Elephas maximus indicus: one gene and its partners. The protein of the gene in region 1 binds, or shares a complex with, the protein of each later gene. Links are inferred from orthologs where the notes say so. Each region holds a gene or a part of one and is shown in the gene's direction. Other genes may lie near its edges.

What was found.
Region 2: NHP2 (region 1) and TERT share a complex: the UniProt entries of both Homo sapiens proteins name them as parts of the telomerase holoenzyme complex. The link is inferred for Elephas maximus indicus from reciprocal best matches to the Homo sapiens genes NHP2 and TERT.
Region 3: NHP2 (region 1) and NOP10 share a complex: the UniProt entries of both Homo sapiens proteins name them as parts of the H/ACA small nucleolar ribonucleoprotein (H/ACA snoRNP) complex. The link is inferred for Elephas maximus indicus from reciprocal best matches to the Homo sapiens genes NHP2 and NOP10.

What each region holds. Positions count from the first base shown.
Region 1 is NC_064820.1:198,294,382-198,305,802, reverse strand, and holds the start of NHP2 (H/ACA ribonucleoprotein complex subunit 2), read left to right. Parts: upstream 1-6,949; 5' UTR 6,950-7,058; coding exon 7,059-7,218; intron 7,219-7,291; coding exon 7,292-7,361; intron 7,362-10,943; coding exon 10,944-11,049; intron 11,050-11,330; coding exon 11,331-11,421. UniProt on the Homo sapiens protein: Required for ribosome biogenesis and telomere maintenance. Part of the H/ACA small nucleolar ribonucleoprotein (H/ACA snoRNP) complex, which catalyzes pseudouridylation of rRNA.
Region 2 is NC_064820.1:12,463,807-12,474,617, forward strand, and holds the start of TERT (telomerase reverse transcriptase), read left to right. Parts: upstream 1-5,917; 5' UTR 5,918-6,032; coding exon 6,033-6,251; intron 6,252-6,352; coding exon 6,353-7,640; intron 7,641-10,811. UniProt on the Homo sapiens protein: Telomerase is a ribonucleoprotein enzyme essential for the replication of chromosome termini in most eukaryotes. Active in progenitor and cancer cells. Inactive, or very low activity, in normal somatic cells.
Region 3 is NC_064828.1:23,976,629-23,986,508, reverse strand, and holds NOP10 (H/ACA ribonucleoprotein complex subunit 3), read left to right. Parts: upstream 1-6,013; 5' UTR 6,014-6,097; coding exon 6,098-6,151; intron 6,152-6,442; coding exon 6,443-6,583; 3' UTR 6,584-6,830; downstream 6,831-9,880. UniProt on the Homo sapiens protein: Required for ribosome biogenesis and telomere maintenance. Part of the H/ACA small nucleolar ribonucleoprotein (H/ACA snoRNP) complex, which catalyzes pseudouridylation of rRNA.

The sequences.
Region 1 (11,421 bases):
TCAAGGACAGGAAATAATGACTCCAATATTATTTCCTAAATCAGTGCTAGAGAAAAAATAGAAAGACTGGGAATAGACCCCTGTACATTTTAGAATCTAATGTACAATAGAGGCATTTTACGTAAGTGGATAGAAAAAGACAAAGAATTCAAGAAATGGCACCAGGACCATCGATCGGCTAGTCATCTGGAAAAGAGGAAAGCTGGAGCCCTGCTTGCTCCGAACACAGATGATCAAAAGTAAAAGCACCAGAAGAAAACATAGAAGAGACTTACACGATAACAGGGTAAACAAAAACAAACCAGTTGCCAGTGAGTCAGCTCCAACTCACGGCAATGCCAGAAGTAGTTCTTTTCAAACATGGCACAAAACTTGGAAGCCATAGATTGATACATTTAACTACCTAAACATAACTTTGCTATAACAGTCAAAAGACAAATGACAAACTGGTTAAAAGCTTCTGTCTATATTTGCCACACATAAATCATATAGAGCACAAATTTCCCGAAAAATACAAAAAGCTTTTCTAAAGCTATGAGTCAACTCTATAGAAAAATTGGACAAAAATTTGAACAGGTAGTTCACACAAAATAAATACAAATGACCTGTGAAATTATGATATATTCAGCCTCCCACAGAATTAAAGAAATGGAAATTAAAGATACCATTTACTCCCTCCACAGCCACCGGCCAAAAAAGATGGCTAAAATGCTCTATTGGCAGCAATTAGCACATGAAAAGATGCTCAAAGTCTTTAGTCATTTGAGAAATGCAAATCAAACCCACAATGAGATGCCATTTCACTTCCACTATTGTTGTTGTTAGGTCCCAGTCCAGTCGGTTCCAACTCATAGAAGGAAACACTGCCTGGTCCTGTGCCATTCTCACAATCGTTATTATGCTTCAGCCCATCATTGCAGCCACTGCGTCAATCCATCTCATTGCAGGTCTTCTTTTTTGCTGACCCTCTACTTTACCAAGCATGATAGGGACTGGCCCCTCCTGATAACATGTCCAAAGTATGTGAGAAAAAGTCTTGCCATCCCTGCTTCTAAGGGGTATTCTGGCTGTACTTCTTCCATGCTTGATTTCTTCATTCTTCTGGCAGTCCACAGTATATTCAATGTTCTTCACCAACACCATAATTCAAAGCTGTCAATTCTTCTTCAGTCTTCCTTATTCATTGTCTAACTTTCACATGCATGAGGCAATTGAAAATACCATGGTTTGGGTCAGGCACATCTTAGTCCTCAAAGTGACATCTTTGCTTTTTAACACCCTAAAGAGGTCTTTTGCAGCAGATTTGCCCAATGCAACGTGTTGTTTGATTTCTCGACTGCTACCTTCACGGGTGTTGATTGCGGATCCAAGTAAAATGAAATCCTTGACAACTTCAATATTTTCTCCATTTATCATGAGGTGGCTTACTGGTCCAGTTGTGATGATTTTTGTTTTCTTTGTATTGAAGTACAATGCATACTGAAGGCTGTAGTCTTTGACCTTCATCAGTAAGTGCTTCATGTTGATGAGAATGTGGAGAAATTGAAATCCTCCTCCATTGCTAATGGGAATGTAAAATGGTGCAGCTGCTGTGGAAAACAGACGGCTCCTCAAAAAGTCAAATATGGAATTACCATATGACCCAGCAATTTCACTCCTAGGTATATACTCAAGAGAATTGAAAGCAGGGACCCAAACACATGCAAGTATACCAAAACTCATTGCAGTACTATTGATAATAGCCAAAAGGTAGAAACAACCCAAGTGCCCAAAATCTGACAAATGGATAAAAAAAATTGTGGTATATCTATACCATGTAATAGAACATTATTTAGCCATAAAGAAATGAAGTTCTGATATATGCCAAGACATGAATGAAGCTTGAAAATATCATGCTAAGTGAAATAAGCCTGACACAAAAGGACAAATACTGTATGATCCCACTTATATAAAACATCTAGAATAGGCAAATGCATAGAGACAAAGCTTATTTATTAGTGGTTACTAGGGACTGGGGGGAAGAGGGAATGAATTATTACTGAAGGAATTCTGTGCTTCTGTTTGAGGTAATGTACAACATTTGAAAATTGACAGTGGTGATGGTAGTAAGACAGAGGTCCCCAGGCTGCAGACAATTCCACTGCCTCAAGCAGCTTTCTTGGCATGCCCCGTAGCTTTACACTAGAATCCTGGTTCCTTTGCTTGGTATGCTCCTTAACTTTACATTAAAATCCTGGTTTTCCTCTCCTTATCTGTTGACCTAAAACTAGAGGAAATTGGTGGAAACTGGTTGAGGTGCCATGTTGACATTCAGGATACATTTTTAGACCTTATACACAGTAACTTCCCTGCCTCTGGGTGTAGTTTAGCAGCCATTTTCTAAACATGAGATGCATGAAGTTATATGCAAACCTCATTGTGCCTTCACAGTTCGATTAAGAATGTTGTTGATATAATCCGTATGAACTTCCTACTTGTAAACCCATCCCCCTAACCCTCATTGAGCAATCTTGGTGGCAGCAGCCCCGACTGTCTCCTTTCCTTGTGCAACGAAATAAAGGCTCTTTTCTACTCTCCCACCTCAGTCTCTCATTTATTGGCTGAGACGAGTCACGCAGAGCAGAACCTGGGGTTTCCACCTGGCAACAGTAGCACAGCATGGCGAATGTAATTAATATTACTGACTTGTACACTTAAAAACAGTTAAAATGGCAAGCTTTTTTAATATACATTTCACCACAATAAAATTAAGAAACAAAACCAGTATTGGCAAGTGTTTAAGAGATACATTATTAGATTTTGTAATAGTTTTGGCACAGATGTAGAGAAATTGGAACCCTTATATGTTGCTGGTGGGAATGTAAAATGATGCAGCCACTGTGGAAAACAGTCTGGCAATTCTCAAAAAGTTAGACATCAATATACCATTTGACCCAGCAATTCCACTCCTAGAGAAATGAAAGCATATGTCCACATAGAAACTTGACCATGAGAGTTCATAACAATACTACTCACAATAGCCAAAAGATGAAACAACTCAAATGTCCACCAACTGGTGAATGGATAAAATCTGGTATATCCATACAATGGGATAATATTTGGCCATAAAAAGGAATGTAGTTCTGACACATGCTGCAACACAAATGAACCTTGAAAACATTATGCTGGCTGAAAGAAACCAGATACAAAAGGTTACATATTGTACGATTCCATTTATATGAAATGTTCAGAATATGTAAATCCATAGAAAATAGAAAGCAGATAGTGGTCGCTTAGGGCTGGGGGTGCTGGGGGGTTTGGAGGTGATAGCTAAAATTATGGGGTTTCTTTTTGAAGTGATGAAAATGTTCTAAATTTGATGGTTGCACAATTCTGTGAATATATTAAAGTCATTGAATTTTGCACTTTAAGTGGGCGAATTATACAGTATGTGAAGTATATTAAAAAAAAAAAATCCTCCTCAATTTTTTAAAAGATGGGACCTTAGTCCAGCAAGGCCTAACTTTTTCACTTTAAAGATAAGGCACTAAAGCCCAAAGAGGTTAAACGACTTGTACAAAGTCACTGGGCATTTAGGAGCCTGGGTGGTACAAACAATTTGTAATTGGCTGCTGACCCAAAGATTGGCGGTTCAAATCTGCCCAGAGGCTCTTGCAGAAAAAAGGCCCGGTGATGTGCTTCCATAAAGATTATAGCCAAGAAAACCCTATAGAGCAGTTCTACTCTGTAACACATGGAGTCGCCATGAGTTGAAGGCTGACTTGATGGCAGCTAATGACAACAACATTTGACATTGAGAACTCTGGTCTACTGCCCATGAGTCACTATGTTCTCACCCACTCTACGCTGCTTCATGGAAGCTCGTGTGACCATTGTCGTAGAGCAAAATCATAAAGCCTGGTTAAAATCCAAAGTAAAGAAAGAGTTTTATTGAGGGAATAGAGCCAGCTGCAGCACAAAAAAACACTGCAACAAGAAAACGTGGCGTCCCACCAAATGCAACAGGTGAATCCAAGGGGGAGAAATTGGAGGCACGAGATTATAGGGCTGGAGGAGGAAGTACAAAACACAATATTCTGATTGGTTTACACTGACTGAAGTCAGTCAAAGGTAAGACAAAGTAACGGATAATCTTTGACATTACTGGTTATGTGAATACACTATTGGCTAAAAGACATAACTGAAAGGCATGGGGTCAAGGGGGGGCTTCACGTTGGTAATAAAGCAATGACATGATGGAAAATTTCCGGAGTGGTCTGTTAAAAGTTACCTTGCTCAGAGCGTCAATCTCTAGAGGAGATTGGGAACAAAGAGCTTCCATCAGGGAACAAATGAGTTTCTGGGAGGTATTCACATTCTTTAACCTGACCAGAGAGAAACTTAATTCCTTAACAATAATAGGGGTTGGTTTCTAGGCAACAAAGGTAGAGTAAGGGGGAAAGGTTACTTTGAGCTCTTAGAGTTAGCTAGCTCAGTCATTTTACAAATACTGTCAGAAGCCTCTGATTTTATCCTTTATCACCATTCTAACAAAAAAAATTGGTAAAAATCATACAAACCACCTTGAATCTGGCACAGACCTCTGAAGCTGGCTTTAGAAATACACAGCGTGGTTTACTGAGGACACAAAAAAGCTGACACTTGTGACCTGGCCAGACTGAGGTTCCTACACTTTCACTATCAGCCACATTTCACAATCTTTGCACTAAAACCAACTCCCCTAGTATGGGGAGAGTCTGGGCTTGGAGACAAGCAGACCGTGGTTCAAATCTAGCTGTATGACCTGAACCGAGCTACTCATCTTTCTGAGCTTCAGTAAACTGTGAATAATAATGGTATTTTCAGTGAGCATTGAATGAGATATTACATGTAATATGCTGGGGACACAAACATTCATTTCCCTCTTCCTTCTGTGTAAGAGGAGCCCTGGCGGCGCAATGGTTAAGAGCTTGCCTGCCAACCAAAAGGTTGGCAGTTGGAATCCACAGGCTGCTCCTTGGAAACCCTATGGGGCAGTTCTACTCCTTCCTATAGAGTTGCTATGAGTCGTAATCGACTCTATGACAATGGGTTTGAGGCCTTGGTGAGGTCAAGGCCTCAACCAAAAAAATATGTTTGAATTAGGTTTCTCCAAGAAGAATTTCTCCATTGCTCCCCTGGACAGTTCATCATGCCCCATGCACTCATCTGGGGAGCTTCTCATCTTTGTGACCCTGGTACATTTTCATACCAGTCCTACAAGACTGAATCTGTTCATAGGAATGTCCCTTGGGAAGGAACAGAAAACCCTGCCATAGGTTCAAAGGAGACCACAAAGCTGGTCTCACAGCCTTGCAGACCACGTGGAGAGGCCTTCCCAGCGAGGAGCAGAGCTGCTGCTCCAGGATGGCCAGGGGAAGGGCATGGCAGGGGAGATTTTGGGGGTGGGAAATGGTTACTGCAAAGTTGTCAGCAGTGAGGCAAAAACTGAGAGTGACTTGTCAACCTAAGGATCGGGAAGAGGCCACCTCAGGAAATTCCAAAGCAAAAAAATTTTATAAGTACATTTTTAAGTTGGACAAGTTGGCTTAACTGACCTATGCTCCAACTCCATGGCCTCCCACACACTTCAAAAGTTCCACTTACTGACCTGTTACATCACCACAAAAATGGCAGGCCTACCACTGAATAATCGAAGGCAATTAATTGGTAGCAATTATCTAATTAATATCCAGCCAGTGTGTTCCAAGACAGGAGTCCCTGGGTGGTACAAAAGGTTAAGGCTATTAATCAAGCAGGCGACTAACCGAAAGGTGGTTCAAATCTACCCACCCAGAGGTGCCTTGAAAGAAAGGCCTGGAAATGTACTTCCAAAAACCAGTCATTAAAAACCCTATGGAGCACAGTTCTACTGACACGCATCTGGTCGCCAAGAATCCAAACTGACTTGATGGTAACTGGTTTGGATTTTTTGGTCTGGTTTCAAGACAAAGAACTATGTCAAAGATACCAAGATCCATACCAGCCCAGGCCTGCTCACCTGACCAGCGCCCCCATCCCTCTACAGATCCATTCAAATCAGTCTGTCTCCTCAGCGCTCTCCTGCACCCCTCTTGCCCCAAATCTCAGACCCAAATGCCTTTCCCTCCCTTGTCCTTCATACCCAGCTCTGTCTCAGCGATGTGTGAAATGCCAGGCACAGTGGTAAGAACTATTAAGAAAATAAAAGGGATAAGGGATGCAGGTGGGAGGCCGGAAGGGGCCACAGCTTTGGATAACGTGATCAGAGGATCCTGTCCTATGGGGTGACATTTGAGCAGATACCTGAAGGAAGACACGAAGCGAGCCCAGGGGCTATCTAGGGAAAAGCGGTCAACGAGTGGGGCCATTCCTTGCTCTGTATCTTCCTTCCACAGCCGTGCAACGCGGGCCATGAGAAAGCAAATGGAGAGACACTATGCAAAAACGGAAGAAACCATTAGCAGTGTCAGGCTTTACCATTAGCAGTGTCAGGCTTTACCTTTAGCACTCAGACACTACCCAGGACCAGCTCAGGAGCCGGGACCTGACCAGGCTCCGCACTGACAACCTGAAACTTCAGACCTAACTAAATTGGTCCGGAATCACGCTAGCACAGATTTCCAGTTCTTGCACTATGGTCGCACACCCCGCCCATCGGGCGTGGATCCCGTTCCGTCAGGCATGGCCACGCCCCCACAGGTACTTCCTCCTGTTCCCGCTCCCCGCGACCCCCACTCTCAGACAATAGGAGACAATAGGAAAGTGCAGGCTATTCCCGCCCCACCCCCTAGGCCCCGCCCCTCGCCTTAGTTCTTTTTTTTTTTCCCCCCCCGGGCCCGCCCCTAATCCGCTTTGTCCAATAGAAGTGGCCCCGCCTCCTAGGGCCAAGACTCCGCCTCCCTCTCCGTCAACGATTGGCCTGAACCTAGTTTCCCAATTGGTTGTAGCGCACGGCTGGCTTCCCGCACAGTGGGACGACCCGGAAGTGATTTCTGCAGAGGCTTGCCGCGTGGGTTCGCCTCCCGGGAGTCGGCGTGGGTATTGCCGTGGCTGCCGCTATGACCAAAATAAAGCCAGACCCGGACGGGCCGGAGGCTCCTGCAGAGGCGTCCTGTGGGGAACGCACGTACCATGAGCTGCTGGTCAACCTGAACCCAATCGCGCAGCCCCTGGCCTCCCGCCGCCTCACGCGGAAGCTTTACAAGTGCATCAAGAAAGGTGCAGCGGGCGCGGGGGCTGGCGGGGCGCGGGGGCGGTGCGAGACCCCCGACTGACTCTCTTGTCGTTGCAGCCGTGAAGCAGAAGCAGATTCGGCGCGGCGTGAAGGAGGTTCAGAAGTTTATCAACAAAGGCGAAAAAGGGTGAGACTCCCCTCTCCGCCACGTTTCGCGTTTCTAAACGGTGAACTTAGGTGCTCTGTAAAAGTCGAGTGGGCTGACTGTCCCCTATAATAAAGCAGTCGGTAAGTTTCACTCAGTATAGATACCGACATACCATTTGCAGGAGCTCAGAGGGACCCCATGAGCAAAGTGAACTCCAGAAGGAAGCTAATCGTATCATCTAATTCAATTCGGATAGACCCCTCTCCCTTCATTTAGCAACTAAATGTTTTTTGAGGGCTTTGTCAAGCACTCTGCCTATGGGGATGCAGTGACATTGGGCAAATAATCAGAACACAGTTACAGGTTGTGATAATCACGAAGGAAAAGTGCCGTGAGAAAGACTTCATTCCTCTGCTTCTTTTCTGGCATTTAACAGAATCTGAAATTTGTATTTACATTTTTATCTCCAGTGCCTCCCACGCAGTCCAGACCATAAGCTTTTTGAGAACAGGGATTCCCATTGCTTTATCCCCAGCGTCTGGCACACTGTAGATGCTCAAGAAATAAGGCTGGGGGATTTGGTGCACAGTTGGGTGTCAGACCTAGTTTGACCTGGGTCGCGGGGAGGTCGTGCATCAGGGAGTTTTATTTGAGCTGAACCCTGAAGATGCAGGGGCTGATGGAGGTATGAGGGGGAAGGAGGTGGTTCCAGCCACAAGAGGGGCCTATGAACAATGGTAAGGACTTTAGTTTTTGTACTTGGTCTTTAGGGACCACTGAAGGGTTAAAGCCAGGGAGTGACATTATATTTATGCCTTAACATTTCTCAATCCAAGAAAGAAAGGATTAGAGAGACAAGAGTAGATTTGGGAAAACTCTTGCTAGGAAGGTTACTGTAGTCCAGAAGAGGTGAGGGAGATGGAGAGAATGAAAGTGGGTGGATTTGAGAGGATTTAGGATATGGAGAGTGAATTGCAATTGACTTCTGGATTTTGGCTTGCCCAGCCAAATGGATGGAGGGCCCCATTCACTGAGAGCCAACAATGGAGGGCCAGGTTTATGTGGGAATATCTCAAGTTTGGTTTTAGACAGTTTTTTTTAGGTCCCTTTGAGATACACACCCCCAGCCCCCAACACCCCTCTGCAGCCCCCAGTGCTACTCAGCAGCACAGGTGGCCACGTGGGCTAGGAGCTTGAGAGGACCGGGCTGGAGAGAACAGATTTAGGAGTTGTCAGCACACAGTGTGGGGAACACCAACACTTAAAGGAAGAGTAGTAGAGGCCAAGATGCCAAAAGAAAACTAGAATACAGAAGCAGCATTTTCCTGAATAATCTTTTTAATTTCTTCAATTGCTTTATCTCTGTGTTCCTTGGCTTGTTTTGCGTATTGCCTTATTTCCTTCTTGATGTTTTGAATGGTTCTGTATATTAAGCTTTTGTATTCTGCCTCTGGTAATTCCAGGAAGGCACTTTCATCTAGAAGATCCCTTGATTCTTTGTTTTTAGAGCTTGTTGAGGTGATCATGCTGTTTCTTTATGTGACTTGATATTGACTGTTGTCTCTGAGCCATCTGTAAGTTATTTTATTAATTTTATGTTTGCTTACTGTGTCATAGCTTCTTGCTTTTTGTTTTGATATGCCCAAATGGGTTGCCTGAGTGAGCTAGCTTGATTATTTCTGCCTTTGGGGCTCTGACGTCCTCTTCCCAGATGGTTAGAGTTGTTATCAGGTGTATTAGTCTAGAAGTCCATTCACTTTTCTTGTATGACTTCAGCTCAGGTGTCCAGGTAGCTGATCATCAAGTGTGTTAGTATAGGCTCTGTCCTACAGTCTTAGAGGGGCAGGGATGATTGGTGTAGATACCAGTATCTGGTTGCAGCAGGGGGTCATGCTCTGAACAAGGCGGGGCTAAGAATCATTCCCCATGTGTCTCTGAGGAAAGCCTGTCCCTGTTCCCTAGAGTGTACAGGTGGGTGGGTTCTGCAGACGGACCATGGGCACCCAGTGTTCTTGGTTGTAAGGACTGGGAGGTACCAGTTATCCCTGGACCCCTGTCGCGGGTGGCTGGGTGACCTGAGTGGAGCTACCAGTCCTTAGGCCCCTGATGTGGGTAGGTGAGGACCCTGTTCAATAGGCAAAGCAATGTCAAACATCAAGCACCCACTTTGCCGCCGCACAGCTGAAACAGTTGGAGTTTGCCAACAAGGATCTATTCTCCTGAGATAGGCTCACCCAGGTCCATGCAGACGGGAAAGGTACTCAAAGTCCACAGACTGTTTATACTTGGACGGGAGCTGCTTCTGTCCTGAGCTCCCCCGGTTAGTGGAGCTGGCAAATTATCTTTTCCCCTAATTGCAAATTTATTCCTTCACCAAGGCCGGGAGGATGGCTCTAGGTGCTCAACAGGGCCTATCTCAGGCCCAGGGAATTCAGCTGCTGAAGCCAGCTGGGGGTCCGGGGCGGGGGGGGGTTAAATTATACGCAAGTACTTAGTTTTTGCCAAGAGTGCCGTTCTCCTCAGATTCCAGAGGTGTGAGCAGGCTGTGTGGCTGGCTGCTTCTCCCTGAGGAAACTGCGGCCGAGCCGCCGCTCTCGGGAATGGTTCCTGAGGGCTCCTCGCGATTCAGGTCCAATAACTTGGTAAACTGTCTCTTCCTCCCCCTGCCCCTCAGTTCGTTTTCTAAGCTTGCCTTTGATGCTCATGGCTCTTAGCTTGTCATAAATATACTCGTTTCACTTGTTTTTTTGGGTCTCTGTTGTAAAGAGGGCTCACCGAAGTGTCTATTCTGCTATCTTGGCTCCACCTCTCCAGAAACAGCATTTTGAACTGAGACTTCTTGTGTCTGCCTGTCCCTCTGTGTCTTCAGGCCTCCTGTGGCCCTTGCCCAGAGCCCCAAGGCAAACCTTGCTAGTCGAGAACCCCGAGGATTCTCTGGCATGCCCTTAGTGGTTCCCATCACTCATGGGACACAGCCCAGGCTTCTTAGCCTTGGTACTCAAGACCCTCTGGCAGGTATGGCCCCCATCTGTCTCTCCAGCTTTCTTTTCCACCCTACTACCCCTGGATTGCAAATCCATCCCAGGTGGCCAACAACCCCCGTGTTTTGTGGTTCCATTCTGCTTCTCAGCTTTGAATGCTTTCCGTATCTCCAGTGCCCCATCCAACCATGGTTGCAGACAGACATCATTCAACCTTCAGTTCAAGTGTCACCTCCTCAGGCTTTTTTTTTTTGCGTCTCCTAGGAGAGCTGAGCACTTATTCCTTGGGGCCCGCCCCCCCTCCCGCCACACCTTTCCTGTCCCAGCACTATACCAGTTGGTGGCATAAACGTTGCCATGTCAGCTTCTACTGCTTAGTCCTTCTTCAGCTTTCTTGGGTCAGACATACTTTTGAAACTGTGATTAAAAAAATAAAGACCATCTCTTCAGAAGAACACACTCAACCAAACACACAATTTTGCACCCACTTTCAGAGGCTACATTCCAATATTAGTAACTGGGCTTCTTGAAGGCAAGGTCATCTCATTTGCCTCTGTATCCCCAAGACCCAGTCCTGAGGCAGCACTTGATTCCAAAAGGAAGAACAGGCCAGAAATGACCGTGATTTCTTTCATTTTAGGATCATGGTTTTGGCGGGAGACACACTGCCCGTTGAGGTGTACTGCCACCTACCAGTTATGTGTGAGGACCGGAATTTGCCCTATGTCTATATTCCCTCTAAAACGGTAAGGAGCACATGACCCTGCCAACCCTGGTCAGCTCTGGGGGAGGGGTTGCCTAGTAGGAAAAAAAACACAAGCTCTGCAGTGAAGATAGGCCTGAGTCCATTCTTAGTTCTGCTGCTTCCTCATTGGGGTGCAGTAAGTTACCTCTCTGCACTTCTGTTTCTTTCCTGTGTGTGGACCAGATTAGGCCCTTCTCCATCACTGCCCTTCATCAGTTTGTGACTCCTGGCATACAGGTTGTGTGGCCTTCTTTCCCAAATAGCCCATCTTTTTCTCTGTAGGACCTGGGAGCAGCGGCTGGCTCCAAGCGCCCCACCTGCGTAATAATGGTCAAGCCCCATGAGGAGTATCAGGAGGCCTATGACGAGTGCC
Region 2 (10,811 bases), about 190 Mb from region 1:
GTTCCTCATGAGCACAGTTAAGTGTTCTGGAATTCCCGTACTTTGCAATGTTATTCATAATTTGTTATGAACCACACAGTCGAATGCCTTTGCATACTCAACAAAACACAGGTAAACATCTTTCTGGTATTCTCTGCTTTCAGTCAGGATCCATCTGACATCAGCAATGATATCCCTGGTTCCACATCCTCTTCTGAATCCAGCCTGAATTTCTGGCAGTTCCCTGTCGGTATACTGCTGCAGTCACTTTTGAATGATCTTCAGCAAAATTTTGCTTGCCTGTGATATTAAGGGTCGCTTTGGTGGGTGGATGAGTGATATTAATGATACTGTTCGATAATTTCTGTATTTGGTTGGATCCCCTTTCTTGGCAATAGGCATAAATATGGATCTCTTCCAGTCAGTTGGCCAGGAAGCCGTCTTCCATTTTTCTTGGCATAGATGAGTGAACACTTCTGGTGCTGCATCCGTTTGTTGAAACACCTCAGTTGATATTCTGTCAATTCCTGGAGCCTTGTTTTTCACCAATGCCTTCAGAGCAGCTTGGACTTCTTCCTTCAGTACCATCGGTTCCTGATCATATGCTACCTCTTGAAATGGTTGAACATTGACTAATTCTTTTTAGTATAATGACTCTGTGTATTCCTTTCGTCTTCTTTTGATCCTTACTATGTCGTTTAATAATTTCCCCATAGAATCCTTCATTATTGCAACTCGAGGCTTGAATTTTTTCTTCAGCTCTTTCAGCTGGAGAAACGCAGAGCGTGTTCTTCCCTTTTGGTTTTCTATCTCCAGCTCTTTGGACATGTCATTATAATACTTTACTTTGTCTTCTTGAGCTGCTCTTTGAAATCTTCCACTCAGTTCTTTTACTTCATCAACTCATCCTTTTCCATTAGCTGCTTGACATTCGAGAGAAAGTTTCAGAGTCTCCTCTGACATCCATCTTGGTCTTTTCTTTCTCTCCAGTCTTTTTAATGACTTCTTGCTTTCTTCATGTATGATGTCCTTCCACAACTCGTCTGGTCTTCAGTCATTAGTGTTCAATGTGTCAAATCTGTTCTTGAGATGGTCTCTAAATTTGGGTGGGATATACTCAAGGCCATATTTTGGCTTTCATGGACTTACTCTGATTTTGTTCATTTTCCACTTGAACTTGTAAATGAACAATTGGTGGTCTCTCCCACAGTCGACCCCTGGCCTTGTTCTGACTGATGATATTGAGCTTTTCCATCCTCTCTTTCCACAGATACAGTCGATTTGATCCCTTTGTTTTCAATCTGACGAGGTCCATGTGTATAGTCGCCGTTGGTGAAAAAAGGTATTTGCAATGAAGAAGTCGCTGGTCTTGCAAAATTCTATCATTCGATCTCCAGCATTGTTTCTATCACCAAGGCCATATTTTCCAACTACCAATCCTTCTTCTTTGCTTCCAACTTTCGAATTCCAATGAGCAGTAATTATCAATGTATCCTGATTACATGTTTGATCAAATTCAGACTGCAGAAGCTAATAAAAATCTTCAGTATCTTCGTCTTTGGCCTTAGTGGTTGGTTCATAAATTTGAATAATATTCGTATTAATGGGTCTTCCTTGTAGGTGTATCACTGACAGCGTTGTACTTCAGGACAGATCTTGAAATGTTCTTTTTGATGATGAATGCAACACCATTCCTCTTCGAGTTGTCATTCCCAGCATAGTAGACTATATGATTGTCTGATTCAAAATGGCCAATACCAGTCCATTTCAGCTCACTAATGCCTAGGATATCGATGTTTATGCGTTCCATTTCATTTTTGACAATTTCCAATTTTCCTAGATTCATACTTTGTACATCCCAGGCTCTGACCATTAATGGATGTTTGCAGCTGTTTCTTCTCATTTTGAGTAGTGCCACATCAGCAAATGAAGGTCCTGAAAGCTTTACTCCATCCATGTCATTAAGGTCGACTCTGCTTTGAGGAGGCAGCTCTTCCCCCGTTGTCTTTTGAGTGCCTTCCAACCTGGGGGGCTCATCTTCCAGCACTATATCAGACAATGTTCTGCTGCTATTCATAAGGTTTTCATTGGCTAATGCTTTTCAGAAGTAGACTGCCGGGTCCTCCTTCCTAGTCTGTCTTAGTCTAGAAGCTCAGCTGAAAACTGTCCTCCATGGGTGACCCTGCTGGTATCTGAACACTGGTGGCATAGCTTCCAGCATCACAGCAACATGTCAGCCAACAATATTAACTTTTTTTTTCGCATGTTTTTTGATGTAACGGCTTAAGATTAGCATTAGCTTTTCAAAGACAGTTAACTGTTCATGTAATAATCTGAAGTTGTCATGAATTTCATTTTACTTGGATCCACAATCAACACCCATGGAAAGAGCAGTCAAGAAACCAAATGCCATATTGTATTGGGCAAATCTGCTGCAAAAGACCTCTTTAAAGTTTTAAAAAGCAAACACGTCACTTTGAGGACTAAGGTGTGCCTGACCCAAGCCATGGTATTTTTTAATTGCCTTACACGCATGTGAAAGCAGGACAGTGAGTAAGGAAGACCAAAGAAGAATTGATGTGTTTGAAGTATGGTATTGGTGAAGAATATTGAAAATGCTATTAGGAGGGATCAATCCTTAGAGAAGAACATCATGCTTTGTGTGATGGACTGAACTATGTCCCCCCAAAATGTGTGTTGTAAATCCTAATCTTTTTGCCTATGGTTGGAAACCCTGGTGGCATAGTGATTAAGTGTGACAGCTGCTAACAAAAAGGTGGGCAGTTCAAATCCACCAGGTGCTCCTTGGAAACTCTATGTGGCAGTTCTACTCTGTCCTATAGGGTTGCTATGAGTCACAGTCAGAGTCAACTCAACAGCACAGGGTTTTTGGAGCCCTGGTGGCATACTGGTTAAGAGGTAAACTGCTAACCAATAGGTCCTCAGTTCAAATCCACCAGCTGCTCTTGGTAAACCCTATGGGGCAGTTCTACTCTGTCCTGTAGGGTTCTATGAGTCAGAACATACTGGAAGGCACCTAACAACAACAATGACATGCCTATGGAATTGGCTGTCTTTGTTATGTTAATAAGACAGGATTAGTATAGGTGTATCCTGAGTCAATCTCTTTTGAGACACAAACGAGGTTAAACAAGCAAGATAAGAAGCAGAGATAGGGGAAGTGAGATGCCAAGGGACAAGAAGATTGTCCAGGAGCAGAAGCTCATAAGAGATAAGGACCTTCCTCTAGAGGGTACAGAGAGAAAAAGCCTTCTTCTAGAGCCAGCACCCTGAATTCGCCTTTCTAGCCTTCTGAACTGTGAAAAAATAAATTTCTGTTTGTCAAAGCCACCCATTTATAGTATTTGTGTAAGACACTTATTAAAGTAGAGGGTCAGAGAAAAAGAGGAAGACCTTCAATGAGATGGATTGAGATAGGGGCTGCAAGAATGGGCTCAAAGAACGATTGTGAGAATGGCGCAGGACCGGTCGGTGTTTAGTTCTGTTGCACGTAGGGTCGCTATGAGTTGGAACCGGTTTGACGGATCCTAACAACAGCATTATTTTGGATATTAACAATTTCCATTAGAAGCTGGGAAAAGCCTTCTTACAAATGACATGGTATTTATTCCATGGGTGTACTTTTCTGCCTCAGTTTCTTCTATTCATATATTTGAAAAAGTCATTGTTTTCTAATGCTAGGTTTTTTAGTCTTTATTACTGAAGATTTTCTGGGTGAGCCAAGGAGTAACTTCTTTGTCAGAAAAGAACAAATTTTCAAACAGTGCCAAATTCTCTAGTGGCAGAAATGAGCAGTTCTCAAACATAGCCCTTAAAAAGCACTTCTGCAGTGCTCACTAAATGGAATTTCTAAAATAGTCTCCTCTAATCCTGAGTATTTACAAGGCTGGGCCAGACAACCCAGTGAGCGTGATAAATATGAAGAACCTTTCTGTCAAGGGAGGCAGCAGAGGCTGTTTAAATGCTACAGTCATGAATAAAAAGCAATTTCCCCTCCGAGTTTCTTAACATAGCAAAAGGGTACATTTGTTCAGCATTGTAGTGTTGACCAGACTTAAGTATATCATCCCCACAAGGCCTCCTGAGACCCATAAATTCTCCCATTTCTTAGTGATTCAAACTTGAACACCCCATGAAGTCTGGGCCTGGATAGAATTTCATTATGTCTCTAAGTTGTTCTCTTGGAAGGAGGTGCTGATACAATGAGACATCATAGGAACTGCTATCCCACTTCTGGAGAGGGGGTTACACAGGTGGCTGCAGGTCTCTGTGGGTGGGCTTGAAGTCAGAAGTGCCTGGGCCATTTTCTCCAGCAGCTTCGTGGCTTTACCGAGGTCCTTTGACCTGTCTAGGAATCTCTGGCAGCGTAGTGGTTAAGAGCTATGGCTGCTAACCAAAAGGTCGGCAGTTTGAACCCACCAGACGCTCCTTGGAAAAACTCTATGGGGCAGTTCTACTCTGTCCTACAGGGTGGCTATGAGTCAGAATTGACAGCAGTGGGTTGGGTTTGGTTTTTTGGTTTTGACCTGTTTGATGGTGCCTCCAGCTCTGTGCACTGGGACGATGAGGCACTCCGTGGCTCTTGAGTGAGTCATCGCATGTGTGTGGATCCAGTGCCCCACAGGGAACATGGGATTTCTTCCTGTCCTTCGACGGGACCCACTCTCCAGAGTTATTAACAGGGAGCCAGGTTGGCGTGTTGACTGTCAGTACCAGCAAGAAGCCTCCCTCCCCTCCAAACCCATTGTTGTCAAGTGGATTCTGACTCATGGCGATCCTACAGGACAGAGTAGAACTGCACCATAGGGTTTCCAAGGCTGTATCTTTATGGAAGCAGACTGCCACATCTTTCTCCCTCTGAGCAGCCAGTGGGTTTGAACCGCCAGACCTTTTGGTAAGCAGCTGAACACTTAACCACTGTGCTCCCAGGGCTCTGAAAAGAAGCCTAAGAACCCAAAAAGAGGAAATACGGCCAAGAGTATGTATGGGCTAGGACTCAAGGAGACAGAGTTCCCTGGAGGGGCAGGGCTTGCTCTCCCTCCTGCCAGGAGACAGCATTCTGGAAGCATCTGCCTGGCCCTCCTGGTGCCATTGTGTTGTGCTCACAGGGCCTTCCTACCCTCCATAGTGAGTGTTGACTTCCATGTCGCCCTTCTCCCATCTTCAATGGTCTAACATTCGCAGGTACTGGTGGACTTACGGCCCTGCTCCTTCCAGACCCTGCTCCATCCAAATCCCAGCAGCCATCCCCCGGGCTCATTCAGAGCTCAGTTGAAAAAGTGGTGAAGCACAAGGCCCCTCTCCCCCAGCGGGCGCAGAATGCACCAGAGTCCCCCAGGCACCCCAGCCCGACTTCGTCTCACCCTCAGGTAACCCCAGGGCCTTGGTTGACTAAGGCCCTCTCCACAGTGGGGCCCTTGCTGCTGCCTCTGGACCAGGCACCGGCCTTGAAATGGTTGCTGTCCGCCCCTTCGTGGGAGACTACTGCCCAGGCCGCCCAGGGCAGCGGCACAATCCAGGACACGTCCCTAAACATTTCTGCGCCAGGTCCTCGTGGACACCATGGCGCAAACAGCAGAAACTACTGCCACTCCGCAGGTCAGATGGAAAGGTAATCTGGGTGAGGACACGCCTCCCCGTTTACCAGCTCGCTCAATCCCGGGCCTGCCCACCTCAGACCTGCTCTGAGCCACCTCCTCCGGAGAGAACCCCACCCCGTCGCCCCCCGGACTCCGCCCTCCCACTCCGGGCTCCTCCCCCTTGTACCGGACCCCGCCCTATCCCCTCGTCGCGCATAGGAAACGGCTCCTCTTCCTCCCCCGGAACCCGCCTCGGCCTCGCCCCCTCGCCCCGGGCCCCGCCCCCTATCCGCGGCGCGCGCTGGAGCCTGAGCCTCTTCCTCCTCCCGGAACCTGCCACCTCTTTGCGGCACGCGCTGGAGCCTGCACCTCTTCCTCGCGCGGTCGCCACCTCCGGTAGCTGGGAGCACGTGGGACGCCTCCCCTGGACCCCCGCTCGGTCTTTAACCTGGGATGCCGCGCGCGCCCCGTTGCCGGGCGGTGCGCGCCTTGTTGCGCGGTCGCTACCGCGAGGTGCTGCCGCTGGCGACGTTCGCGCAGCGCCTGGGGGCCGAGGGCCGGCGACTGGTGCGGCGCGGGGACCCTGCGGCCTTCCGCTCGCTGGTGGCCCAGTGCCTGGTGTGCGTGCCTTGGGGTGCGCCGCCGCCCCCTACGGCCCCTTCCTTTCGCCAGGTGGGCCACCAGGGGACGGGGAGATTGGGAGCGTCACTCAAGGGGGACCGCGGCAGTCCGGTCGCTCCACCGCGACTCAGGCGCTCCTGTTTCTTCCCCAGGTGTCTTGCCTGAAGGAGCTGGTGGCCAGGGTCGTGCAGCGGCTCTGCGAGCGCGGCGCGAAGAATGTGCTGGCCTTCGGCTTCGCGCTGCTGGACGAGGCCCGCGGCGGCCCGCCCATGGCCTTCACGACTAGCGTGCGCAGCTACCTGCCCAACACGGTCACTGACACGCTGCGTGGCAGCGGCGCCTGGGGGCTGCTGCTGCAGCGCGTGGGCGATGACGTGCTGGCCCACCTCCTGGCGCGCTGCTCGCTCTACCTTCTGGTGGCCCCGAGCTGCGCTTACCAGGTGTGCGGGCTGCCGCTCTACGAGCTCTGCGGGCGAGACACCAGGGGGCCGGAGCCGGGCTGCGGGGCCCCGCGAAGAACCGTGGGGGGCACGAGGCGGCGTTGGGACAGCGCGGGTGAGCGGCACCCATTGGCTAAGAGATCCAGGCACAGCCTAGCCCTGGAGCCAGGGCAGGTACCACAGTCCTGGGCCCACCTGGATAGGGCGTGTGGGCAGAGTGACAGCGATCCCCACGCGGTGACACCTGGCAGGAGAGCCGCCGCGAAAGCCGTGTCTTGGGAGGGTGAAATTGCTGGAAGGCGTCGTTCTTCCACGCTGGGGGTCAAGGAGCGTGGGGCAGGCCCCTCGTCCGCGCAGCCGCCACTGTCACTGCTTCCCCAGGCATACGTGGAGACCAAGCGCTTTCTCTACTGCCTGGGGGCCAAGGAGAGGCTGCCAAGCACCTTTCTCCTCAGTTCCCTGCAGGGCAATCTGACTGGGGCCCGAAGGCTAGTGGAGACTATCTTTCTGCGCACGAAGCCGGCGTGGAGAAAGACGCAGCTGCGGCGCCTGACCCCGCGCTATTGGCGAATGCGGCCCCTGTTCCAGGAGCTGCTTGGGAACCACGCGCGGTGTCCCTACAGCGTCCTTCTCAGGACGCACTGCCCGAGGCTGGGCTCGGCCATGGCCACCCCTGCGGGTACTGGCGGGGCGGGTACTGGGACCCCGGAGCAGCCCCCGGGGCCTGCAGTGAAGCCTGCCCCTGAGGAGGATGCTGGCCTGCAGTGCGTGGTCCAGCTGCTCCGCCAGCACAGCAGCCCCTGGCAGGTGTACACGTTCGTACGGGCGTGTCTTCACCGGCTGGTGCCCCCTGGTCTCTGGGGCTCCAGTCACAATAAGTGCCGCTTCCTCAGGAACGTGAAGACATTCATCTCTTTGGGGAAGCACGCCAAGCTCTCCCTGCAGGAGCTGATGTGGAAGATGAAAGTGCAGGACTGTGAGTGGCTGCGGCGGAGCCCAGGTGAGGAGAGGCAAGCAGGTGCACTCAGGTGAGGAGGTGCACCAGGTGAGATGGCGCACCCAGGTGAGGAGGTGCACCCACGTGAGGAGGTGAACCCAGGTGAGGAGGTGAACCCAGGTGAGATGGTGCACCCAGGTGAGGAAGTGCTCCCAGGTGAGATGATGCACCCAGATAAGGAGGTGCTCCCAAGTGAGATGATGCACCCAGGTGAGGAGGTGCACCCAGGTGAGGAGGTGCTCCCAGGTGAGCAGGTGCACCCAGGTGAGCAGGTGCACCCAGGTGAGGAGGTGCTCCCAAGTGATATGGTTCAGGGCTACTTGATAGTAGAGGCTTGTAACTGAACGCCGTAGTTGTTGTTGTTAGGTGCCATTGAGTCGGTTCTGACTTATAGCGACCCTATGCACAACAGAAAAAAACAGTGCCTCGCCCTGCGCCATCCTCACAATCGTTATTATGCTTGAGCCCATTGTTGTGGCTACTGTGTCAATCCACCTCGTTGAGGGTCTTCCTCTTTTCCGCTGGCCCTGTACTTTGCCAAGCATGATGTCCTTCTCCAGGGACTGATCTCTCCTGACAACATGTCCAAAGTCCGTAAGATGCAGTCTCACATCCTTGCTTCTAAGGAGCATTCTAGTTGTACTTCTTCCAAGGCAGATTTGTTTGTTCTTTTGGCAGTCCATGATATATTCAATATTCTTCTCCAACACCACAATTCAAAGGTGTCAATTCTTCTTCGGTCTTTCTTATTCACTGTCCAGCTTTCCCATGCATATGATGAGATTGATAATACCTTGGCTTGAGTCAGGCACACTTTAGTCTTCAAGGTGATGTCCCTGCTTTTCAGCACTTTAAAGAGGTTCTTTGCAGCAGATTTACCTATGCAATGCATCATTTGATTTCTCGGCTGCTGCTTCCATGGCTGTTGACTGTGGATCCAAGTAAAATGAAACCCTTGACAACTTCAATCTTTTCTCCGTTTATCATGATGTTGCTCATTGGTCCAGTTGTGAGGAATGCCAAAGGGACTCAGGAAAGCAAGTGGCCAGGTGGTCTGAAACCTCAGCCCTTCTTACCTTGCTGTCTACACACATTGCTTCTCCCTTAGGCTGGTGCGTGGATTCCATCCGCTCTCTCCCCCTTATCTCCCCCTCTCCCATTGCGTACTTCTACAAGGATAGCGCTCACCCTTTTGTGGATCCAGGTCCGGTCCTAGACACCGAGGACAGCAGTGAACAGGTAGAATGGGAGAGGCAGTGGGGTGGGATTGCTGACAATTGGGTAGAAGTATCCAGAAACCCTCGTGAAGGTGCAAGCAGGTTATTCCTAATCCCCTTCTTGACTTCAGGGCTTATTGCCTCAAGTTGGTGCTCAATGCTGATGAAAAGGAGCCGATTGGAAAGATAACCCCCTTTTCCTGGGGCCTGGGAGATGAGGCTCCTGCGTTTCATGGAGGCATCTGTGAGCCAATAGTGCACTCGTTCGTATTTAGGTTTCATCTTGCATCTGCTGTGCCAGGCCAGGATGGGACAGAGGAAGGAGGGATAAAAGGGATGCTTCCTTCAACTGCCCAATTCCATCCTTTAGTAAGAGAAGGGTCACAAGGGAACAGAGGACAGTGGCAGGATGCTCTCACCTGCTGTAGAGAAGTTGGCGCAGCTCCTTGTGAGTACTTGGGGTATGGTTGGTCCCTCTCCGTTTTCTGGGCAGCTGGGTCCTGGGGCATTCCTGCCCTTTGATGTTCTGGGCTTGGTTTTCAGGCTTCTTCCTGCCAGCCCTCATTCAGCCTTCCCTTCTGCCAACCCCCAGCCAGCACACCTTCATCAAGGGTGGATAGCATTGAAAGCACTCCTGCTTGGGGATGGGTGCCCTGAACTTGTGTCTGCACCAGCCTTCCCTGCCTGCCATAGTGCGAGCACAGCAGTGAAAACTCACCTCGGTCGTCCGTTGCCATCTGTTCTCATGGTGACCTTATGGATAACAGAATGAAATGTTGCCCTGTCCTGTGCCATCTTTATGATCATTGGTACGTTTGAGTCCGTCATGGAGGCTACTGTGCCAGTCCGTCTCACTGAAGGTCTCCATTGTACTTGCTGACCCTCTAGTTCACCAAACATGATGTCCTCTTCCAGCTGCTGATCCTTGATGGTGTGTCCAAAGCAAGTGGGCTGGACAAGGCTCTGTTGTGATGCATAGGGTTTTCACTGGGTGGTGTTTTGGAAGTAGATCGCCAATCCTTTCTTCCTAGTCTGTCTTAGTCTGGAAGCTGCACTAAACCCTGTCTGCCATGGGCAACTCTGCTGATATTTGAAATAGTGGTGGGGTATCTTCCAGCGTCACTGCAACACCCAAGCCACCACAGCATGACAGACGGACAAATGGGCGGCAGAGACTTCCTAGAAGGAGTCGTCTACTGGAGGGGCGTTTGTCCACTCTGGCTGGACATGAGAATCACTTAGGGTGGGGGCTCGGAAAACACCTAGGCCCCACCCCCAAAGATCCCAACTGAAATCCGCCTGAAGCAGCCCAAGGTGGCTCTGGGCGTGTCTCAGGGTCCCTGAGAGATCCTGGGGGCCAGCTGAGTGGACAGCCAGGGCACCCTTCCCACAACACATTTTTTTTTTCCTTATGTTTCTCTTTTAAAATTTTATTTTGTTATTGTTGAGAATATACACAGCAAAACAATGAATTCAACAGTTTTCTACATGTACAACTCAGTGATATTGATTATATACCTCAAGTTTTATAACCATTCTCACCCTCCTTCTCTGAGTTGTTCTCCCCTTATTAACATAAACTCACTGTCCCCAAGGTTCCTGTCTAATCTTTTGAGTTGCTGTTGTCAATTTGATCCCATATAAAAAACCAAAACCAAACCCGTTGCCATTGAGTCGATTCTGACTTGCAGCGACCCTATAGGACAGAGTAGAACTGCCCCTTAGGGTTTCCAAGGAGTGGCTGATGGATTCGAACTGCTGACCTTTTGGTTAGCAGCCAGCCTCTTTAACCACTGCACTACCATGGATCCCATACAGGTAGTTCTTAAAAGAGCACAGTGCTCAAGGCAGACGTTCTTTATTAGTTAAGCTAAACTCTTGCTTAGTTTTAAGAAGATTTTAGGAGGATATTGTAGTTTAATGTTTGAAGATTATCTCAAGGCAGTTGTTTCAGGGG
Region 3 (9,880 bases), on another chromosome or scaffold:
CAGGTTTCACGGCAGATCCTCCCGAATAAGACAGACTAGGAAGAAAGGGCTGGCAATCTACTTCTGAAAACCAGACAATGAAGACCCTATGGATCACAATGGTCCAATCCCACTGTGAATATGGTCACCATAAGTCAGGGCCAACTCGACAGCAGCTAACAACAACCATCTAACCTAACTTAACCTGTTGCCAGTGAGTCGATTCCAACTCACCGTGACCCCATGTGTTACAGAATAGAACTGCTCCATAGGGTTTTCTTGGTTATAACCTTTACCAAAGCAGATAGCCAGGCCTTTCTTCCACGGCATCACTGGGTGGGTTCAAACCACCAACTTGTAGGTTAGTAGCCCAGCCCAAACTATTTGCGCCACCCAGGGACCTACAACAACAACCACCATTTAACCAGGCATTCACTTTGCTAAGCACTATAACAAACACATTTAATCTTCTCAGCAGCTATCTGAGGTAAGTATCATTATCCTCTTTTTAAATGAGAGAACTGACAGTTAAAGATGTTAAATGCCCTGGCCAGGATTACAAATCTAATGAGTAGTGGAGCCCCTGACCACTAAGCATGCTCTAAAAACCAAAACAGTTGCAGTCGAGTCAATGCCAACTCACGGTGCACCCCATGTGTGCCAGAGAAGAGGTGTGCTCTGTCAGGTTTTCAATGTAGATTGCCAGGCCTTTCTTCTTAGGCACCTCTGTGCCAATCTTTTGGCTAACCATTACACCACCCAGAGACTCCCAGCACACTCTACCACCTCCCTAATTCAACTTGAATTCTCCTGAATAAAATGGGGGCAGGTGAGGGTAGGTACACACAACGTTCTTTGCCTGGCCCTGCACTGTCCTTTCTTCCTGCAGGAATGGGTCATGGCCCAGCACTCCTTGTCCTGGCCAGTTGGGAAGCCTCAACTCATGTTAAGAGGTAGCAAAAGAGAAAAGGAGGATCACGGCACTTGTAGTCAGAGACCTAAATTCAAATCATAGCTTTTCACTTTATGATGTAATCAAAGACCTAAATTCAAATCATAGCTCCTCCCTTTATGATGCAGTCAGAGACCTCAATTCAAATCACAGCTCCTTGCTTTCTGATAGGAAACCTCTCTGAGCTTGAGTCTTCTCTGTATGTAAGGATTACGGTAAAGTTGCCTGCCTGAACTCACAGGTTATGAGGGCCACTTGACAGAAGATACCTGAAAGCATGTTATAAACTGGGAAGTGGGTTAAGAGGCTTATTATCATTATTATTATTGTGCTTTTATCTTCTCATAGCATCTGCATTACCCTCATGACCTGCCTTCAAGTACTCTTAGATAAATAACCTAATCACCTCACAGTCCTCCGTATTTAAAAGCCCTAGGATAATTAATATCAGGCCTCCCCACTTACATAAGAAAGCAGGAAAGAGCTTCTGCATCAGGACTTTGGGATAGGTGCCTCCGGGCCAAGGCTTTGTAGCGCTGCCAACGTCTGAAATTCTCATAAACGCCCTTGGAGGTATAGGAGAGGTCACCCAGTGAGGGCTTGGATGGGGCAGCTGCAGAGCCTCCTTCCCCGGGAGCCCCATGTGGCCCTGGCCAAGCCTTCTCCACGGGGACGGTGGGGGCCAGTTGGGCCGCTGGTGGTAGAGCTTGAGGAAGAAGGCCTGGGGGCCCCTCCTGGCTCACCCCAACAGTCTTAGCAGGCAGAATGTTCTTCACATTAGAGGCTGTCATGAATTGAGGTGGAGGACCATCAGGGCCCCCGCGAGGAGCACCTGAGGCAATCCAATTGAGGGCAGTATGAGTAAGGATAAAGTTCTGAGTTTGAGGGGACTCAGCTGGCCCCCCTTCTGTCTTGACTTTGACAATGACCTTGCCAGCCCCGGGCCCACTGGAGCCAGGGCCCCCATCCCCTGTCATCAACAGTCGGCTGGGGAAAGCAGACAGCACTAGAGGGGTGCCTGGAGAGAAGGCTGAAGGCATGGAAGGCCATGGGGGTGGCTCCCAGGGTGGCTGGTCTGGTGGGCCTGGAGTAGGTGGCGGAAAGGGAAGGGCAGGGAAAGGAGACATGGCAGCGCCAGGTTTCATGGTCATATCCGGTCCTGACAACGGAGATGCTGTTGAGACAAACAAAAAGAGCGGATGGAGTAGGAGAGAGGGAGACTGGCATTAGACCATCTGGGTCCCCCTAAATCACTAAAGAACCAGAGAACTGATTCTCAACAGGTGGGGGAAGAGGCATGGACGGGGAACTTATGTAGTTTGCAACTGCCCCCACAAGTGATCTGGATGTTCTTTACTCCCAGCTGAGAATTACTACACTAGAGAAATTGTTCCCTTTCCAAAAAGACATGGAGACCCTTATTGGCCACGAAGAGACAAGCCCAAGCCATCACTGCCTGTGACCTCCTTGCCAGCCCCATAGGCTGTTTGCCAAGACATGGAACAGGGTTGACACCAGCTCTGCAGAGGAAACAGCCCAGAGCAGGCTCACAAGCGTGTAAGAGACCTAGTCTAGAGAGGTTCTGCCCCTTCTCCAGGTACCCACAGGGCCCTTAAGGAGGCAGTTTCAAAAAGATTATTAGCCCTATCTCCTCCTCAGTCTTCCTTTTACCTTATAAATCTCCCCTCTCTTTCCTGACCTAAAACACAGAAGAAGAAAGATGCAATCGACTAGCAGGAGCAAGGACCCTTGGACCCATGAAGCTTACACCCCATAACACATCCCACCCAGCATACATGTACATCTGCTATTCCCCTCCATTCCAAGCAGAGATTCAAACCTGAGCCCTGCTCCCAGCTGCTCTGTGGTCCCTGCCACCACTCACAGAAGTGCTGTTACCAGGAGAGGTGGTGTGGACTAGATATTTGGTTCCCAGAAATTTTGTTATATAAATCAAGAATGATTAGAGAGAAAATGGGGGGGGAAGTATAGAACCAAACCAAACCCACAGCCATTGAGTCGATTCCCGACTAATAGCGAGTCTGTAAGATAGAGTAGAACTGCCCCATAGGGTTTCCGATGAACCCTGGGGGATTCGAACTGCCAACCTTTTGGTTAGCAGCTGTAGCGCATAATCACTACACCACCAGGGTTTCCTGGAGGAATAGGGAGGGAGCTCTAAGTAACTGCTGGGAAAGTTAAAATTTGGCAAAGGACACTGTCTGTGGTTCTTCTGCTTTGAGCTCCTAATAACCTAGAAATTTAGGGCCCACTAAGACCGAACCGTGTGCAAAGGGAAGGACCATGAAGCCTGGAACAGAGTTCCTGCTCACGAGGAGCTCATGTCGACGCTAGTCAAGGGGACCAATACACAAGATGTGTACTTACTCAGGATGTGTGTCTCCCAGAACTTTCAATAACAATAATAGAAGATAATCTGCCTAATTTCATGCTACTGTCCTCCCCCTCTTATAAAGAACATTCCATGGCAACAGTTGTCAAACTGACAACTCTCAGCTTCCACTTTGTGGCCAAGGAAACATGGAATAGGAGCAAACTCGTCACCTCAACCATACAGCAGAGGGCCAGGAGTATGCCACAAAGTGCTGGCCAAAATGAAATCGGTCTGAAAGTCTGAGTTCCTGAGGTAAAAACAACTCAGAGCATCTCAGGGAAGCCCCAGCTGTCAACCCAGTTGGAGTTACCTCCCTTCTCAGCCCTGATGAATCCAGGAAAACTGCTTGCTGAATGGAAAGAGAAACCATCTCTGGGGCTGGAAAGAGCCATGAGGCTTTTGAGCAGGGGTAGTTACAGTACTTTCCAGACCAGCTTTCAGGAGGACATTTCTCTGCAAACTCAGCAACAGGCAACCCCACTGAACAGTTTTGGCTAAGGTTACCCCTCACTGCCCCCCCATTCCCCGGCCCACTCTCCTCATAAGATCCAGAGTGGCCCCAGCTTAATTCTCAGGGCAAATCCTAGACAGACTCCAGTTACCTAACGAGAAGGACACAGAAGCTTAGGCCTTCCCCTTAAGTCCTTTCTGTGCCACCCCCACTACACACACCTCTGTTCTTTGAGAGAATCAAGTTGCTAACTGCCATCATTTCTCTATACCCAGCACACTTTCTCTGAGGAGCCTTGAGTGGCCTTCAAGGAGCCTCTTTTCCTTCCCCAAACCCCAGTCTTGAGCATCTAATCTCCTTCCCCAGCCTCCCCAAGGGCTTGTCCCCAAGTGAAGTGTCAAATTTGAATCCTCAAAGATCTGAGCTGGTGGCAGGGAGTCCCCCCTTTCCCCCATACTCCCTGCAGACTTACCTCCATCTGAAGCCATCCCCTCAAGTATGGGCACTAACTGTGGCTGTCTGGAAGCTTCCAGAATAAGACAGTCAGGTCCAGCACCCAGAGAGAAACCTGGCTCCAGTAGATACACAGGGATCCAAGGAGGGGAGGGTAAAGATCGGATCAAAACAGAACTAGAATCTAGGGCTCAAGGCATTCCGCAGCGGGGGAGGGGAGAAGAGGAGCTAGCCCATAAAGGGTTCTGGTAAAGTAGACAATACCAAGAATTCCCTCTAAACTAGAGTTTGACAAAACAAATCATATCCACCTCTTCAGGACAATTTGTAAATTCTTTCTCAGACTCCCAACACTGCAGTTTTACCAGTCGGTTCCCTTTCAGTCCTTCAACATACCTAGTTTTGTGCCCTTCAACCTCACCCAGTTCTGTAACTGACTTCTTAATAGCAGGTTGGCTGTAGACCCTTGACTTAATTCAATGAAGATGATATTTTCTAAACCAAATTCAGAGCACATAGTTTGTGAACTTACGGATCAAGGGAACTAAATATTTGAAATTAGGATCATCTCAGAAGATCCAGGGTGTTCCTATGCATACTGTTTCCTTGGAAAGTTGTCCTGCAGTCCCCAAACAGCCCACTTCCATAAGCTCTACAGCCTACAGCAGGCCCTGACTTCCCAATGATGCCCTTTATTGAAAAGCCTCACTATATCAAAAACTGCCACGTAACCTAAAATCTCAAGATCAGCAAGTCCTTATTTTTGTTTGCTAATTTATTTTGCTGTTAAATATTTTTTATTTTAAAAAATAACTTTAAGTACATGTTTAAAATGGGTAATACAGTAATACAGTAGCATGGTTCAAAGGTCAAACTGTGCAGAATAGACTATACAAGTCTTCCTCCCGGCCCTTAGTTCTCCAACCCGGAGGAAACCAATATTATCTGTTTCTTGTGAATTCTTGCAGAGATATTTTATGCAACTACAAATACAAGCTATATTTTACAAAAGAAAAAAGGCTTTTAGATTTTTCTGGTTATAAACTTAATATATGTTCCAAAGTGTTTGCCATTTTAAATAATGTTGCAATGATCGTCTTTGTAATATCTTGGTTCCAGTTTTCGTTTCTTTAAGCTACAGCCATATAAGGAGAATTTCTCCGTTCTTTTAAAATTCGAAATACCCCTAGGAGATGCATCTTATTATGCTATTATTAGCTACTCACCATATAAGAAAGCGCTGAATTTGCGGTAAAGAGACTTGAGTTCGAATCTTGTCTCGATCACTAAAACATACTTCACCAGTTTCATAAAATAACTTCACGCTCCATTCTTTCTACCGAAGAGTGAATACCCATCATGCACTCTTTACCGCCAATATTTTGAAAAGGAACGGGGGAACCGGATGTAAAAGAGGGGAGGGAAGAAAACTTTCTTCTTTCTCCCCTAAGATAAAGGGGCACTGAATCCTAGAGCACTTGTTTCACCAAGCACTAGAAACCCACTACTCCTGAAACGGGTGTGCATCTAGCGATAAAGGCAGGATTCTATTCACCAGTATCCAACCTGCATCCATCCTCACCCCCCTCTAACGCCTAACAGTGCCTGGCACACAGTGGGCACACTGCACGTGTTTTAGAAAGTTTGCAAAGTTGCAACTTATAGCCCCAGGCCAGATCCTGCACTAGCGCGCCCCCTTTTGGTCAGTTGAAGAGGATGTCAACAGTGGACTACATTTCCCGGCATGCCTTGAGACAGACTTCCGGCTTTAAGAGGAAGGAAATTGACAAAGGCGTGTGGCAGTGGGGCAGACTGAGTGGCAGAAGCGGTTGTAGAGGCAGTTGGAGTGTCTGGCCTAAGTGTCGTCATGTTTCTCCAATATTATCTTAACGAGGAGGGAGATCGGGTCTATACGCTGAAGGTAAGGAGAAGAAACAGGGTGTAAGTGGGTATGGCGAGAAATGGAGGTGGAAGGAGGTGTTGACACTCGCCACCGGGTTGCCTAGCAGAGCGAGGGGAACCGGAAAGCCCAGACCCGAGGTATGGTAGAAGCACGAGCGCGCGACTTTTTAATCTGACCCGCGGGTCTCCGAATCTCATTTTGCCTTTTACGCGCTGCCCGCACCGTATCCCAGTCTCCATCTTTCTTATGGCGCCGGTGATTGAATTTTTCCACCACTGAGACCGTGTTCTCTGTTTCCTCCTCGAGCAGAAGCTTGACCCTATGGGACAACAGACCTGTTCAGCCCATCCTGCTCGGTTCTCCCCAGACGACAAATACTCGCGACACCGAATCACCATCAAGAAACGCTTCAAGGTGCTTATGACCCAGCAACCGCGTCCTGTCCTCTGAGAGTCCTTCATATTTGGTGTCTCTTCTGCCGTCTGCTACCCCTTGGAGACTTTGGGTAACCAAGCTCTGCAGCCTGTGAGCCTTCAAGCCTTGTTTACCACCCTTGCTGTTTGGAATTCAGCATTTGATCTTGTTGGTGTTAGGGAATCACGGTAGCATTTCCTTTAAAGGGAACAAATTGGAATTTTCATATTGTGAATCACTGTCATGTTATTAAAGACAAAATAACTTGAAAGAGCTTTCATTTTGTGTGTTGTGGGAGAAAAGGGCTGGTTAAAAAGCAAAACATGAGGTAGATGGGGAGAGGGGAATACCCCAGAGAGTTACAAGAAGATCACCTGGAAGAATAACTTCAGTTACTGCTTGAGCAGCTTACGGGAGGGTGCTGGGGAAGGGAAGAAAGGTTGAGAAGGACCCTTCTACAACTGTCAGCATTCACTGGAATATACCCCCGTTGTCACTCAAACAATTTCTTGCCCCTTGAAATGACATTTTGACTCAAAATGCAAGTGTTGCTTGAAAAACTAATAACAGTAATTGTAGAGAGAAGACCACTGACTTTGAAGTCAGGAGACCAGGGTTCTCCCCTCTTTGTATAACTTTAGTAAAGTCACCTCGTCTCCTTGGTCTCGTTTTTCTCATCATTTCTAAGTTCTTTTCCAACTCTAAAATTGGTACGTTTCAGTGAATTGAAATTTATCTACAGTGTTTGTCCAAACTTTATGAACGTAAGTGCTTTCTTACATGTTTACTGTCCCTCTGGAAATATTCCCAGGCTTTCAGGTCTGTCCATCAAGGATTTATCTTTTTACCTACACCTAACTTTGTATTCTCTTTGGCAGCTACTGTGGAACTCTACATGGCTTTTAATTTAGAAGATGAGATATGAGAGATTCAAGTAGGGACTTTTGTTCTTTTTCAAATTACTGTTGGGTATCATGGTTAAAAAAAAAAAAGTGGGAGAAATTTCATAGGATTTGAGCTTCTATCATGGGCACCCACAAAGGATTTTGAATCCAATGAGAAAATACTATATCCAAGCCTTCAAGAAATGCTAAGTTGCTTCTTCCTCTCCTTGTCAAGTTAATCAACCCATTATTTCCCAGTCTGCTCATTCATGGCTTTTGACATTGGATTTGAATGTTGTTTGTTCAGTGCCACTGGTTTATAAAAATTTCCTTGTGAAAAATGTAGTATTCTAATTCTCCAGTCTTCTTTTTCTACTACATCAAAATTCTAGAGTCCAGAAGCAGATGTAACTTAAGTTGAAATGTGGCTTATGAAGACTGGTCCTAAAAAGGAGTAGATACATTTCTTTTGGACCCTGCTGTTTGACCATCTCCACAGAAAAGTTCAGGACTGCTGAGGAAAAAAAATCTCTGGACTTGGGTCATAGTCAACAGAAGATGATTTTCGAATCAATTACTTTGAACGAAAACCAAACCAAACCCATTGCCATGCAGTTGATTCCAACTCGATAGCTACCCTATAGGACAGGGTAGAACTGCCCCATTGGGTTTCCAAGGAGCAGCTGGTGGATTAGAACTGCCTGTCTTTTGGTTAACCATTGTGCCACCAGGGCCTAGAGGAATGGTGAAATGAGTTATTTGTTTCCTGTCAGGGAGTTATTCTTTCTTTGTCTATTTACTTGCAGTGTTCCTAGCACTGGATCCTAAGGATTTTAAAGAGTTACCCTAACCTAGGAAATATTAAAAATTCTGCATATGACTAGAAAAAGGATCTGGTATTGAAGCTTTAAGCATCTAAGTAAATTAATACAGCCACTATTTCTATTTTTGTTGTTATTGTGCTTTAAGTGGAAGTTTACAGCTCAAGTTAATTTCTTGTACAAAAATTTATACACATATTGTTATGTGACGCTAGTTGCGATCCCTATAATGTGACAGCACACTTTTGTTTTTAATGTTGACTGCAATCCTGTTTTTATTTTACAAAAAAAAAAAGGAGGGAGCCTTGTTTCTCTGCTACCTGCCGTATAGACTGAAATGAAGAGACTTTGGCCTGGAAATTTTCCTAATCTAAATAAAGGAGAAAAGGCAGACTGACATTGCATATATTGAGGACCTTTTACTTAAGAGATCCCTGGTTATTACAACTTTACTAACATTATACAAAGAGGGGAGAACCCTGGTCTCCTGACTTCAAATTCAGTGGTTTCTCTACAATTATTGTTATTACATGGCATTTATAGAGCTTGATTAGTGTTCAAAGACAGGGAAAGGAGTATAGTATATTGGTATTGTTGGTATTAGGTGGTACATGTAAGTAAATATAAATACACCGGAAGGAAACAAATCAGGTGTCAAAAAAATCCAGCATTTCTTTATAAAGGTTTGAGTGAACAGCAGGCCTGTCTGAGGGAAAACTGAATTCTTAGATTTCTCGCTAGTAAGAAAGCTGTGAGCTTAAAAAATGAAGCACAGACTTTATAAAGGATCAAGTTAAGGTGTTTTGCATTTTAAGTGGGAATTTCTGACTTTGTTACCTAGATCTTTTTAACTGGAATTTGGACTTTGTGTGGCATTTGATAAAAGGAATTTATTTACCTGGAAGTCTTAAATACAATTCTGATCCATTTCTAAGGATGCTGCTTAAAAATTTCACTTATGAGGAGCAAGGACCCAGGCAAAGCCAAGATAGTTTCTGGGCTGAAATTTTGAAATTTCTTGATCAAAGCTATAGCAAATAACTTTCAAAAAAAACCCTTCCTGAGTCAACATTTATTGAACACCTCTATGCATTAAATAAACACACTAAGAAAAATATTCTAGTGACAATAAACATAGTAGGGAAAACACTAGGTGTCATGGATTGAATTGTGTCCCCCCCAAAATTTTTCTGAACTCAGTTAGACCATGTGTGGTCCATTTTGTGATTTTAATTTTATGTTGAAAGGATTAGGCTGGGATTGTAACACCACCCTTACTCAGGTCACCTCTGATCCAAGGTAAAGGGAGTTTCCCTGGGGTGTGGCCTGCACCACATTTGTCTCTCAAAAGATGAAAGAGAAGCAGAGAATTGGGGACCTCATACCACCAAGAAAGCAGAACCAGGAGCAGAGCGTGTCCTTTGGACCCTGGGTCCCTGTACCTGAGAAGCTCCTTGACCCTGGGAAGATTGAGGACAAGGACCTTCCTCCAGAACCAACAGAGAGAGGAAGCCTTACCCAGGAGCTGACACCTTAAATGTGGACTTTTAGCCTACTTTACTGTGAGGAAATAAAGTTCTCTTTGTTAAAGCCATCCACTTGTGGTATTTCTGTTAATGGCAGCACTA